3 linked regions of the Xenopus tropicalis genome follow. The protein of the gene in region 1 binds, or shares a complex with, the protein of each later gene. Links are inferred from orthologs where the notes say so. Each region holds a gene or a part of one and is shown in the gene's direction. Other genes may lie near its edges.

Evidence for each region. Proteins that work in one complex are often made in the same cells at the same time.
Region 2: taf8 (region 1) and tbp share a complex: the UniProt entries of both Homo sapiens proteins name them as parts of the TFIID basal transcription factor complex. The link is inferred for Xenopus tropicalis from reciprocal best matches to the Homo sapiens genes TAF8 and TBP.
Region 3: the proteins of taf8 (region 1) and taf10 are in contact, whole or in part, in a crystal structure (PDB 4WV4), measured with the Homo sapiens proteins. The link is inferred for Xenopus tropicalis from reciprocal best matches to the Homo sapiens genes TAF8 and TAF10. Residues at the interface, in NP_612639.2 of Homo sapiens: Arg33, Thr36, Leu37, Val40, Ser43, Leu44, Leu45, Ala48, Gly49, Phe50, Glu51, Ser52, Ala53, Glu54, Ala56, Ser57, Thr60, Leu61, Met64, Leu65, Gln66, Tyr68, Ile69, Ser70, Ile72, Gly73, Arg74, Ala76, Lys77, Cys80; in NP_006275.1 of Homo sapiens: Pro115, Leu116, Phe119, Leu120, Leu123, Tyr126, Thr127, Thr129, Ile130, Pro131, Val134, Thr135, Tyr137, Tyr138, Leu139, Ala142, Gly143, Phe144, Glu145, Ser147, Asp148, Arg150, Ile151, Leu154, Ile155, Leu157, Ala158, Ala159, Gln160, Lys161.

What each region holds. Positions count from the first base shown.
Region 1 is NC_030678.2:70,731,924-70,736,077, reverse strand, and holds the start of taf8 (transcription initiation factor TFIID subunit 8), read left to right. Parts: upstream 1-1,354; 5' UTR 1,355-1,397; intron 1,398-3,715; 5' UTR 3,716-3,827; coding exon of another isoform or gene 3,828-3,842; intron 3,843-4,154. UniProt on the Homo sapiens protein: The TFIID basal transcription factor complex plays a major role in the initiation of RNA polymerase II (Pol II)-dependent transcription.
Region 2 is NC_030681.2:50,706,182-50,710,480, forward strand, and holds the start of tbp (TATA-box-binding protein), read left to right. Parts: upstream 1-1,499; 5' UTR 1,500-1,590; coding exon 1,591-1,641; intron 1,642-2,266; coding exon 2,267-2,586; intron 2,587-3,743; coding exon 3,744-3,831; intron 3,832-4,299. UniProt on the Homo sapiens protein: The TFIID basal transcription factor complex plays a major role in the initiation of RNA polymerase II (Pol II)-dependent transcription.
Region 3 is NC_030678.2:177,470,375-177,474,538, reverse strand, and holds the start of taf10 (transcription initiation factor TFIID subunit 10), read left to right. Parts: upstream 1-1,364; 5' UTR 1,365-1,375; coding exon 1,376-1,544; intron 1,545-2,595; coding exon 2,596-2,747; intron 2,748-2,981; coding exon 2,982-3,046; intron 3,047-3,976; coding exon of another isoform or gene 3,977-4,009; coding exon 4,010-4,124; intron 4,125-4,164. UniProt on the Homo sapiens protein: The TFIID basal transcription factor complex plays a major role in the initiation of RNA polymerase II (Pol II)-dependent transcription.

The sequences.
Region 1 (4,154 bases):
AATTTTGATGCGCCTGCTCCCTTTTTTGTTGTAACAATGCCCAATTTGACGCACAAAAAAAAATTCTGCGCAACAAATTTTTCTGCAGTGAATTTTCACGGAAGTTTTGCAAAACAATTTGCCAATTGCCAAATTCGCTGGGAATCCACGTCTAGCGAAAACATTTGTTCATCACTAATCAGTATACATATGTGTATCATACACAACAAAAATGCATTTCAACCAATTTTTCTTTGGTTTATAACAGAGCAATGCTGGGATTGTATATAGTCTATCAAATAAGAGAATGTCTATGTATTTCAGAGAGCTATTATATGCCACACTAGTGCAAGAAGGACTTGAGGATTGAGTTATAGTTGAACCCAACCATGATGCTGGATACAGCTGTGCTCAGCATGATGTTTGGGTTAAAATGTAACTCACTAGAGTTATTGTATCTAGATTCTGCATGTCATTTATAATGGAGGGTGTATGCTGCTACTGAAAAATACCCTACAGCGAATGCAGGGACTTATACTGTGGCAAACTGGGTCAATATAGAAGGCTGTCATGGTAACCTGCTAATAGTCTCACAGTGTTTTTCAGCTGACTTGTTGCTAATATGTGTTATATACCAACATCACTATTGTCACAAGCAATATGTAGTTAAAACCATATCTATTTCATATCCATGTAGAAAAGTTTAAAAAGTACTTCACATGAAAAGGCCCTCACCAGTTGTTTGCTATTAGTACCATTCATGCACGATAAATAAATTTCTGCTCACTGCATGATAAACATTTTATTTACAGCACAAATTATTTACAGCAATTTTCCACTTCTGCTTTCGTGGGTTAAGTAAAGTGCTTTTGTAACTTTCCTATGATCCCTGTAATTATAACAAGCCAGCCGAAAGACGTCCTTAGACTAACGTTAAAAAATGGTCTGACAACCAAACACGTTAGTTCGTGAGGCATTTGTAAGCTGAGGGGATCTTATAACCTTATAATACATGTTCGCAAAAGTGTCCACATGAGGCTTAAGGGTAGATGACTTTTGACATGTATTTAGATGATTTAGGCGCCCCTTAGATACTTACGATGTAATATTTGTAGAATTTGTGTGCGCAACTGAGGTTTTAGGTATGTTATAGACGACAGGAAGCGAAGCTCCTGGCGATTGTATTGATCGGCGATGTCACGTGATCGGCGATTACGTTTAACGTTAATGCGTACGCGACGACGTCGCATACGCATGAAGACAGAAAGGAAAGCGCAGGGCAACAATCGCCGTGCCTTCGGATTGGATGACTCCTTTTGTTATTTTTTTTCTTTTTAATGGCGATATTTACATGGTAGCGCTGAAAAGAAAAGGGAAGATGGCTGCCCTGTGGAACTTTATTTGATACGCTCGTAATGGTAATGCGAGTAAACGTTTGAAATGTTTTTATACCAGTTTAGGGGCTTTTTACAATAAAGACACTGTGGCGGATTTATTTTAAGTTTAATGGGTGGATATGTTAAATGTATAAACATACAATAAACTGTCTGATGATGTATTAACTAGTAGAGCCTTCAGAATTATGTTATTAATTTAGAGCTTCAGAGATCGGCATGGAATATGGCTTAAATACGTCACATATGTGCCACCAAACAAGTAAAAATGACCAAAAACCACACAAGTAATTCCATTCCCCTATCTTCTGCCATTTGTCTCCTCTCTGGCTCGCCGAAGGCACATTCTAATGCAACAAATCTCCATGCAAAAGTCAAGTAGCTAGTCACTAGTGGGCAGATCTAGATGGGGGGCTGCTTCAGTGTCACGAACATTTGGTCCATTTCTCTGCTGCACTGTCTAGTTTGCCTCCTCTGCCAGTGCTGCATGGAAATAACAAGCACAATGTTCCTACGAATTTTTTTGGGGGGAATGTCCCTTAAGCTTTCTATGTGACCTTTCACTGCTACATTACATGGAACGTATGATATATGCAATTTGCAAACAATGCCAATTGGATATTGTACTTATCTGCTTTAATTTAGGATTTTTCCATTTCCCCTAAAATGGATAGGGGAGCTATGATAGCTTTACTATCTCATTCCCTGTTGTATGATCTCAGTCCACGTTGTCTTTAATAAAGTTTCTATTTATTTTTTAAATGCAGCATGCAGAGGCTCTACTTTGTTTGGAATTTAGGATTGGTTCATCTCTTCTGGCTTGGGTACAAAGGAACACTTTATAATATCTTGTTTACTATCTGTACTGCAATTAAATTTTGCATAATAAAACTGAAAACATTCAGATACCAGTTAGATTTCAGTGTATGTAAGTATGTATATAGGTATGGGAAACCTTATCTGGAAAGTTATGTAGTCAGCACCAAATTACGTACTTGATCCCAGCTAAGATATCCTTATTGGAGGTAAAACAAACCTATTGGGTTTATTTCATGTCTAAATTATTTTTTAGTAAGCTTAAGGTATAGCGGTCCAAATTAAGCAAAGACCCCTTGTCCATAAAACACCAGACCGAGCATTCTGGATAACAGGTTCCATAGCTGTAATTAAAAAAACATATGATCTTTCTCTATAATAAAAACTTGTACTAGACCGTTACTTGTATACATAACTAAGCTACATAAATCCATATTTATGGAAAACAATGGAAGTATGCAGTCTTAGGAGTATAGTTGTACAGCTCTGAGGCAGGGAGCCAAGTCTAGACCAAACTCTGTGAGTCCCATTCAGGAGGCCCTGGGATATGATATGTAGTCATAAAGTATCATAATGTATGTCACTCAACTTTGCTTATTCACATGTGAAGTATGACAATGGTAATGTCTTGGAAGGTCTCAGTTGCTGCAGAAAGAGGCAGTTCACTAACTCAAGCAACCAAAAAAATTTGTTGTGTGAGGTTAAAATTTTCTAAACCTTAAAAATATGACCAATAGCAAATTAGCTCGGAATGTTGCTTAAGTCATACTAAAAGTTAATATAAACTGCTTTAATGGAGAAGGCAAGTGCTCCCTTTGGATCAAGATGGTGGTCCTGCGGTTCTTGTGTGCAAAAGGGTATGCCCGTTTGTAACAAATGTTCTTGTGTTGTGTATTTTATAGGAGTTACTGATCAGTAAAGAAAGCTGTTCCTTTAATCATCCCATTTTTGATTTAAGGCCCCTGGTTGTCTTCAGCCATACCTTTCAATGTATGCCAATTGTACTGGTTTATGCTTTTGCTGTTATTAATGGAGTTTTGACTATGCCAATGTAACCTTGCAAAATCTGTATTATACTCCCAAACTTTGTGCTATTAAATATTTTTGCTTAGTTTGGTATAACATATCTAATATTTATTGAAATGTGTTTAAACTAAAATATTCAATGGCCCAGTTTTATATATAATATTTTTTTGTTGCACTTTACACCAACTTTTCTATTTCCAAGTTTTCTATTGTATTGAAATGTTACTCCCATTCTCCAAGCACAATCACATCAAGAACGTTTGTGTGGGGGCAACAATAATAAAAAAGGGCATATGTATTTTTTACATTAACAAGCTTATCTGTCAGTAAATTTACATTTTCTGTCCACCTCTTTCTGCATGGAGTTGGGCTGTTAGTTGGTATTTTTCAGGTCTTTCTCTGGCCTGTTTGTAGGTCTCAGCTGGCTGCTAACATTTTGTGTGTTTGAGGTGTTTTAGAACATGTCATTAACATGTCATTTTTGTCTCTAATTTACTTAGGTACAAAGGGAAAAGTTTTTGTTCCAGCTCTTTTAGAAATCAAGCTGCAGTCAAAAAGACTGTCTCCTGTACTGAGGTGCTAGAAGTTGTATATAATACAGAAACGCTTTTTATGTTTCCTACAATTGTAAGTGCAATTTGTGTTTAATAAAGTTTGTTATTTTAAATACTGCACGTGCAGGCGCTACTTAATGTTTGTAATTTAGGATTTTTTAATCTCTTTTACCATGGGTAACCAAGGAACACTGTATAATGATTTTATCTCCTATCTGTGCTGCAAATAATTTTTGCATAATAAAATCTCAAAATATTTAGCTACCAGTTAAATTTCATTGTATGTTGTTATGCCAGCAGAAAGCCCCCCAGTTATGGAAAGGCCATCTCCCATTTTAAGCCAATAATTTTATTTTTTTATATCTGATTTTTCTTTGTTATAATA
Region 2 (4,299 bases), on another chromosome or scaffold:
TGGGTGTGAGAGGTACAGTGGTACAGTCTAGGGTGGTATATGGGTGGTACTGTCTAGGGTGGGTATGAGAGGTACAGTGGTACTGTCTAGGGTGGGTGTGAATGGTACAGTCTAGGGTGGGTATGAGTGGTACAGAAATATGAGAGTTCTGTAGTGCACATGCCCTTGCCCAAGCCTGGCAGGTTATGCCTGAAAGGGGGTGGGGTTGCTGAAGCAGGTAAACTAAGTGGCTGGAATCCCTGAGGATGCCTAATAATATTTACTACTACCAGTCATTTTACTTTTCCTTCTCCTTTAAAGCTGGGCAAATTTTAGATTTGCTTCTTTGGCCTTGAGCTGACCAATTTGATTTGGAGCCATTTTATCTAGTCTAATAGTTTCTACTATTTTCTAGCTCATTCTGTAGTGCTACAGCCTAAACTCAGCAATAAACCTACGGCTCCCTGTACTGTTGAGGCATGATCTTACTGAGTACAATGGAAATTAGGCACTAAGTTATGTACATAAACCAACCTTGTGTTGTGAAACTAATTTGTGCGTTTAATTGGTTCCTCAGAGAAAAAGGTTTAGGGGCACATATAGCAAAATTTGTATTATTGTACTACAAAATCTCAGAATTTAGATATAACAAGGCTTGATTATTACATCTGAATGAATACGTTTATGGTTTTTATAGCTTCTTAGGGCTCTGGCACACGGGGAGATTAGTCACCCGCGACAAATCTCCTTGTTCGCGGGAGACTAATCTCCCCAAAATGCCATCCCACCGGCGATTCAGTGAAATCGCGGAAGTTGCCTTGAGAGGAAACTTCCGCTATTTCACTGAAATCGTGCCGCCACGTATGCCATCCCACCAGCGAATGACATTTTCGCCGGTTGGATGGCATTTCGGGGAGATTAATCGCCCGCGAACAGGGAGATTTGTCGTGGCGACTAATCTCCCCGTGTGCCAGAGCCCTTAAGAGATTTGGAGAAACTAAAACCACACGCAGGTCATTTTACAAATTTTGCTTGAAGGAATCCCATTGTGACATCTGCAAGTGTATAATTTGACTACACCATTTTAGTATACCTTTTTTTGTCATTTCAAGCAATTTGCTGCTGCTAATATTATAAATATCCCCTACATCTTATCTTTTTTTTTTTTTTACTTTATTTGTTCTTTTAAACAGTCATCTAGTTGTTGGGTCACTGATTTATACAGTAGGATTAATAGCAGATTAGCTTCATGGTGTTGTCTTTACTGCTTGCTATGGTCACATAAGGTTGTCATACACTTGCAGGTTCTAGCTGCCAATTTAGTTCCTTCAGACCAATTTGGCAGCTTATCTGCCTGTGTATGGGCACCCCCAACACGGATCGGGGACCACATTGGCTCGTTGTTATGGCCCTCTGTCCTACTGTTAACTTATCACATTTACCAATACAGGTGCTAACTGCTGAATGTAAGCTATGTTTTAATGTTTTTTTTTTTTTTTTTTTTTTAACTTCTTTTTATAGGATTTTTGTCTGCTGCTGGAATGGTTTATTTTAATTTGTAGGAACAGCACACTTTGTTTTATTCTTAGTGGGATTTCCAATTAACGCAACATGGATCAAAACAACAGTATACCCCCTTTCCAGGGGTTGGCATCACCACAGGTAAGTGTGAACCCTTTTTTCCCTTTTACCACAATTCCCCCTCCATAAAATAAAATGCCTTTAAAAGCATTGTAATATTCACTTCATTTGCACTTTCTAAATTGGGGGGTATACGGTATACCGGGTGTGGTTAATTTGGACAACAGATACAATACTGAAGAATGAAAAAATAGAAGAAAAACTTGAGACACAGGCCAATATGCTTCCAACTGACTTAGGGGGGAAATGCAAGTCAGCAGCCAATATTGGCTTCAATGCAAATGTTTCTCTTGCTGGGGCGCTTGTCGTAATAGGTGGAGGAACGCCATCCTGAGGGCTCTTGAACACAAAACAGATGTGTTCCGTTCTCATTCATGCATGTGAATGAATATAGAGCTGCATTTCATCCTATGCTTCCTTGTGGTGGAAAGGAGAAGAAATCCAATTCGGGAGACTGCAGGGTGAAAACACCTGTGTGTAAGAGCCCTTAGCTTGTCCTACTCCATGTGCAGGGCTATACCATAAGATTTTCATTAAAGAAATCCCCATGTACTAAGCCCATTTTAACTTGTGATTCAACTTGTGTGTGGGTTTGAGAGCAAATTTGTTATAATTTTTTTTTTTTTTTTGTCTTTTATTTCTGTAGGGTTCTCTGACTCCAGGGATTAACATTTTCAGTCCGTTGATGCCCTATGGAACTGGTCTGACCCCTCAACCTGTACAAACAACTAACAGTTTATCAATATTGGAAGAACAGCAAAGACAACAACAACAGGCCCAGCAGTCTACATCACAACAAGGCAATCAGGGGTCAGGCCAAACCCCACAACTGTTTCACCCACAGACTCTTACCACAGCACCTCTTCCAGGAAATACACCCTTATACCCCTCCCCAATGACTCCCATGACCCCTATTACTCCTGCTACCCCTGCATCAGAAAGTTCAGGAATTGTTCCTCAGCTACAGTAAGTCTCATCATCCTGGGGGACATTTTGCAGATATCATTTGTCAGATTATCTGTATCTGCACACTTGTCAACAAATCCTTATGTTTGTCTGTACATTTCTGTAGTGCCATAGAGCATACAACTCTGCAAATGGTAAATATTAGATATACAGGAAATGGAAACATATTCTGGCATATTTTAATTTTAGACAGTAATGACTTTATTTGTTATACCACATTTGAGTGTGGCCTGTCAAAATTAAAAGACCTTATCTTTGTTTTACCTTTGGTACTAATGAGTATTTTAACAGTGCTGCATTACCTTTGTTTACCCTGTGAGTGTTACATTTGTTTAAAAAAAAAAAAAGCTACATTTCTTAAAAATATAGGAGTCCATATTAGATTTAAAAGCTACCAGGCCAGGGGTGTGTGTATATATTAGGTCTAGAAACAGATGCAGACGGTTTCCTCATTTCAGACTTTTACACCACATTCTTGAGACTGAATTGATGTCATATTTAAAGTGAAACTTTATTGAGGGAGAAAGACTTGTCTTGATATGTAATTTAGCATGTACAGTAGTATCCTAGTTTTAATGTGTCCTATATCTGTCCAACATGTGTGAAAAATAGAACAAGTAAAGAATTGGGAAATTAAAATAGTTTAGCACTTTTACAAGTACTAATAGTGCAAATTTTTTTTTTGTAATACTTTTTAAAAATTTCCCATGGGGCTAGCCATGTTCATTTCCCAGGGTGCCACAGTCATGTGACTTTTGCTCTGATAAAGGTCAGTCACACTTTACTACTGTGCTGCAGATAGGAGTGATATCATCATCCCCCTGCAGGCGATCAGCAGAACAATGTAAGTTAGCAAGCTAGCAGCTCCCAGTAGATATCAGAACAGTACTCAATAGTAAAAAAAAAAAAAAAATTCAAGTCCAGTAGCTCTGGCTCCTTCTGAAAGCTCAGACTCGGGCACAATGCACTGATCTGGCTGCCTACAACTAAAAAATTACTTTTGTTGGTTTAAGAATAAAATTTTAAATGGTAAATTATTTGCTATGTAAACAGTAATTTAGAAATATAAGTACACAATAAAAATTAATGACTGAATACCTTTAAATACAGTGAGCAAAAATATTTGGATTTGTAATAACTGCTTTTACATTGTTCAGGAACATAGTGTCCACTGTAAATCTTGGCTGCAAACTGGATCTGAAAACAATTGCACTTAGAGCGCGAAATGCAGAGTATAACCCTAAGGTAAGACAAAAGCCTTTGTTGTATCTTATTCACCTAATAGTTGCTTTCACTGTGACAGACGGGGAGATTAGTTGCCACGTGACAAATCTCCCTTGTCGCGAGCAACTAATCTCCTCGAAATACTATCCCATTGGCTGGAATGTAAATTGCCAGTGGGATGGCATAAGCATCGCCGAAGTTTCCTCTCAAAGATGCCGCGTATGCCATCCCACCTGCGATTTACATTCTAGCCGGTGGGATGGCATTTCGGGGAGATTAGTCGCAACTAATCATCTCGTCTGTCACAGCCCTAAATATTCTTATCTATCTGTAAAAGTCATTCAGGAGAACACACTGGTGCATTGTATGGCACTTAATTCTGTAAATGTGTGATGAGAAAAGGATTTCCTGTTTGTAATTTTGTCCTGCCATACCCACTGGGCATAGTATTTTTATGCTGGCCTAGAAGTGGCATGAGGATGGGTTATC
Region 3 (4,164 bases), about 110 Mb from region 1:
GGCGAGTGTGTTAGTTACTGACGGCGAGTGTATTAGTTACTGACGGCGAGTGTATTAGTTACTGACGGCGAGTGTATTAGTTACTGACGGCGAGTGTGTTAGTTACTGACGGCGAGTGTATAGTTACTGACGGCGAGTGTGTTAGTTACTGACGGCGAGTGTGTTAGTTACTGACGGCGAGTGTATAGTTACTGACGGCGAGTGTATTAGTTACTGACGGCGAGTGTATTAGTTACTGACAGTGAGTGGGTTAGTTACTGACAGTGAGTGGGTTAGTTACTGACGGCGAGTGGGTTAGTTACTGACAGTGAGTGGGTTAGTTACTGACAGTGAGTGGGTTAGTTACTGACAGTGAGTGGGTTAGTTACTGACAGTGAGTGGGTTAGTTACTGACAGTGAGTGGGTTAGTTACTGACGGCGAGTGTATTAGTTACTGACAGTGAGTGGGTTAGTTACTGACAGTGAGTGGGTTAGTTACTGACGGCGAGTGGGTTAGTTACTGACAGTGAGTGGGTTAGTTACTGACAGTGAGTGGGTTAGTTACTGACAGTGAGTGGGTTAGTTACTGACAGTGAGTGGGTTAGTTACTGACAGTGAGTGGGTTAGTTACTGACAGTGAGTGGGTTAGTTACTGACAGTGAGTGGGTTAGTTACTGACAGTGAGTGTAAAGAGACCCCCATAATGGCTGCCTGAGTGGAGGCGGGGGGGGGGGGGGTGGATCAATAAAAAGAAAGTCCCAGCTCCCGGGAGGCGGACACTCACCCACTTGCTCAGTGAATCAATGTCGGAGCAATTTGGATCCGGTTTTCACTCTTGTGGTTTCCCAGTCCGTTTTCGGTCTGCGAACTCCGCCATATTGCTACACCCAAATACTGGCCTCAAGCAGCCCCTGCCCCAGGGTAAAGTCCAGCCCGCCGGCTCCTAACAGCCCCGGTTTGGTTGCCTGTGGCGCTTTTCACGCTCAGAAGAAGGAGTTGGTGTCGCGCCTCACTGTCAGTCTGACTCCCATGCACTTCGCTAAGCTCATTTCCGTGTGTAGCAACATGGCGGCACTCTAGCGTGCCTCAGCACGTAACCAAGCGACATCCAATCACAGTCTGGCTTTGTTCAAATCCTAACGCAGCTTTGCTATCACCGCTTTGATTGGCAACATTTTAAGCCAGTAAATGGCCGCGCCCTGGCAGGTAGCCAATGGGCTTTCTACGTAAGGTTATGTTTCTCCTGAGCTGTGTAGCTGCCGCATTGGCCGGTAGGGGGCGCTGGGACACGCCTTGCAGGAAGATGGCGTAAAGGCACTGCCCGTTGTTTTGGGGAGGAGATTAAGTGGAGGAGCTGTTTCCGGGTGTTGACGGAAGTTCCTGTCCAAGGGTGAAGATGAGCGGGACGGAGACAGCGCCAGACTCTCTATCTGCTATTGCCTCAGTCCAGCCCGGTCCGGCCCCAGAGAGTAAGCCCAGCCCGGCAAACATTCCCAAACCCGGGCCTGCCGCGGCCTCTGCAGCTGCTCTACCCGGGAGGGACACGGGGGAGCGAAGAGCCAGCGGTGAGCGGCAGCAACTGAACCGGAGAGGGAGGGGGGGGTACTCACAGGGGACTGGGACTCCAGGAAAGGCCTGGGGAGAGAAACCCAAGCATGGAGGGGAAAGGGAGAGCCGGGGGGGCAGCTGGAGCAGAGAGGGGCCCGGGGGGGGCAGCTGGAGCAGAGAGGGGCCGGGGGGGCAGCTGGAGCAGAGAGGGGCCCGGGGGGGCAGCTGGAGCAGAGAGGGGCCCGGGGGGGGCAGCTGGAGCAGAGAGGGGCCGGGGGGGGCAGCTGGAGCAGAGAGGGGCCGGGGGGGCAGCTGGAGCAGAGAGGGGCCCGGGGGGGGCAGCTGGAGCAGAGAGGGGCCGGGGGGGCAGCTGGAGCAGAGAGGGGCCCGGGGGGGCAGCTGGAGCAGAGAGGGGCCCCGGGGGGGGCAGCTGGAGCAGAGAGGGGCACCGGGGGGGGCAGCTGGAGATGAGAGGGGGCCCCGGGGGGCAGCTGGAGCAGAGAGGGGCCGGGGGGGCAGCTGGAGATGAGAGGGGCCCGGGGGGGGCAGCTGGAGCAAAGAGGGGCCCGGGGGGGGGCAGCTGGAGATGAGAGGGGGCCCCGGGGGGCAGCTGGAGATGAGAGGGGCCGGGGGGGCAGCTGGAGATGAGAGGGGCCCCGGGGGGCAGCTGGAGATGAGAGGGGGGCCCCGGGGGGCAGCTGGAGATGAGAGGGGGGCCCCGGGGGGCAGCTGGAGATGAGAGGGGGGCCCCGGGGGGCAGCTGGAGATGAAAGGGGTCCCGGGGGGCAGCTAGAGAGGAGGGGGCTGTCATAGCTGAGAATTGCCCTTTGCTAGGGCAGGGGGTAGGAGTGGTGCCGGGGGTGAGAAGGGGAACGTATGGAAGGAGCTGGGTGAATGGACCTGTTTCGGGGCAAATGGTGCCCACTGGGTTGTACAATGGGGAGTACAGTTTGGGGACAGATAGGGTGGGGGGGTATTTGGAGAATTGGGCGCAGGTAAGTGCCCGGCTGTGTGACTATTGCCCAGTCCTTTCCAATTCCAATGTATGTTCTGTTATTGATCCTCCAGTCCCTGCATCAGCGGCTGCTGCCCCCTCCGAGGGATCCCTCTCTAATGGCGTGTACCTGCCCCCGGGGGTGGCAAATGGCGATGTCAAACCTGTCATTTCCACTACCCCCCTGGTGGATTTCCTGATGCAGCTGGAGGACTATACCCCTACGGTAAGTGTCCCTTGGGTCTGTATGGGAAATGCTGTGCCCTAGGGTACTGGGGGGGGGCAGTGCCAGGCATTTGCCCCACCTTACACAGTGTCAGGGTGCAGCTTGTGCCTACAGAACATCATTTCTCTGTATGTATGTATATCTGTTGGTGGGAGCTGCCATATTGTTTCCCTGTATCATTGCTTGTATCTGTTCCAACATTTGCTTTACATTCCTTCTCCCGATTTCCTGCAGATCCCAGATGCCGTCACTGGATATTACCTGAACCGGGCCGGGTTTGAAGCATCCGACCCACGCATGTAAGTACAACTCCTGCTGCCATACGTTATTGGCCCGTGGGTACCGGAGCTTCTCAGAGCCCTGTAGCAGTTGCCTCGACTAGGAAGAACCTTCCCTTATTCTGGCCAGCCTGTAGCGCTAGGTTATGGGCCGCCGTGGCCAGTAGCCGTTTGCTCTGTGCCTACCAGGAGAGCTGACAGTCACGCTTATGGCCACAGCAACTGGAGGCCTAAATAGGGGTTAAAGTGCCCGTTCTGGTGCTGCCATTCCGTTATATGTATTATCCCTCTTTATTATTGTTTATCTTGCTTTCTAGGAACTGTAATGTAATTGGTGGAGACTCGTTTGGTGAGATTGCCAAATGAGCGGATCTTCTCCACCTACAGTGGGCAATACCGGGCTAGGGCCAAACCATCGCAATGGCAGATATCGGTTGGGTAGGCCCGTCGGGGGGTGCCCATACACGGGCAGATAAGCTGCTGAATTGGTCTGAAGGACCCGAATCGGCCCTTAAAGGAAAAGTAACACTAAACATTTTTAACTAAAAAATCTATTCTGCCCTCCCCCAATAATTGCCCTATCCTGAAATCCATTTGTTATTGTGAATGCATCAACTATGCGGTGATCGACTGATCGAGCCTAGCCTGACTCATTCCTATATACAGAAGTCAGGGGCTAGATCAGTCGATCACCGCATAGTTGATGCATTCACAATAACAAATGGATTTCAGGATAGGGCAATTATTGGGGGAGGGTAGAATAGATTTTTTTAGTTAAAAATGTTTAGTGTTACTTTTCCTTTAACCCTAGCAACCAATCAGAGTTGCTTTCATTAGTCTTACTGCAGTTATCCAATCAGGCCTGTATGGTGATTACTATGAGTTCAGCACAGCATCTGTATTGACTTCGCTTATTTTGAATTTCACACCGGATCCTCTCGATCTCTGTAGTGATCCGCTGACCCCACCGCTTGTCTCTCCTAGAATCCGGCTGATCTCCTTGGCATCTCAGAAGTTCATCTCTGACATTGCAAATGACGCCTTGCAGCACTGTAAGATGAAGGGGACGGCCTCCGGGAGCTCTCGCAGCAAAAGCAAGGTACCCCGCCAGCAAATGCCCTTCAGTGGGGCTATTGTGC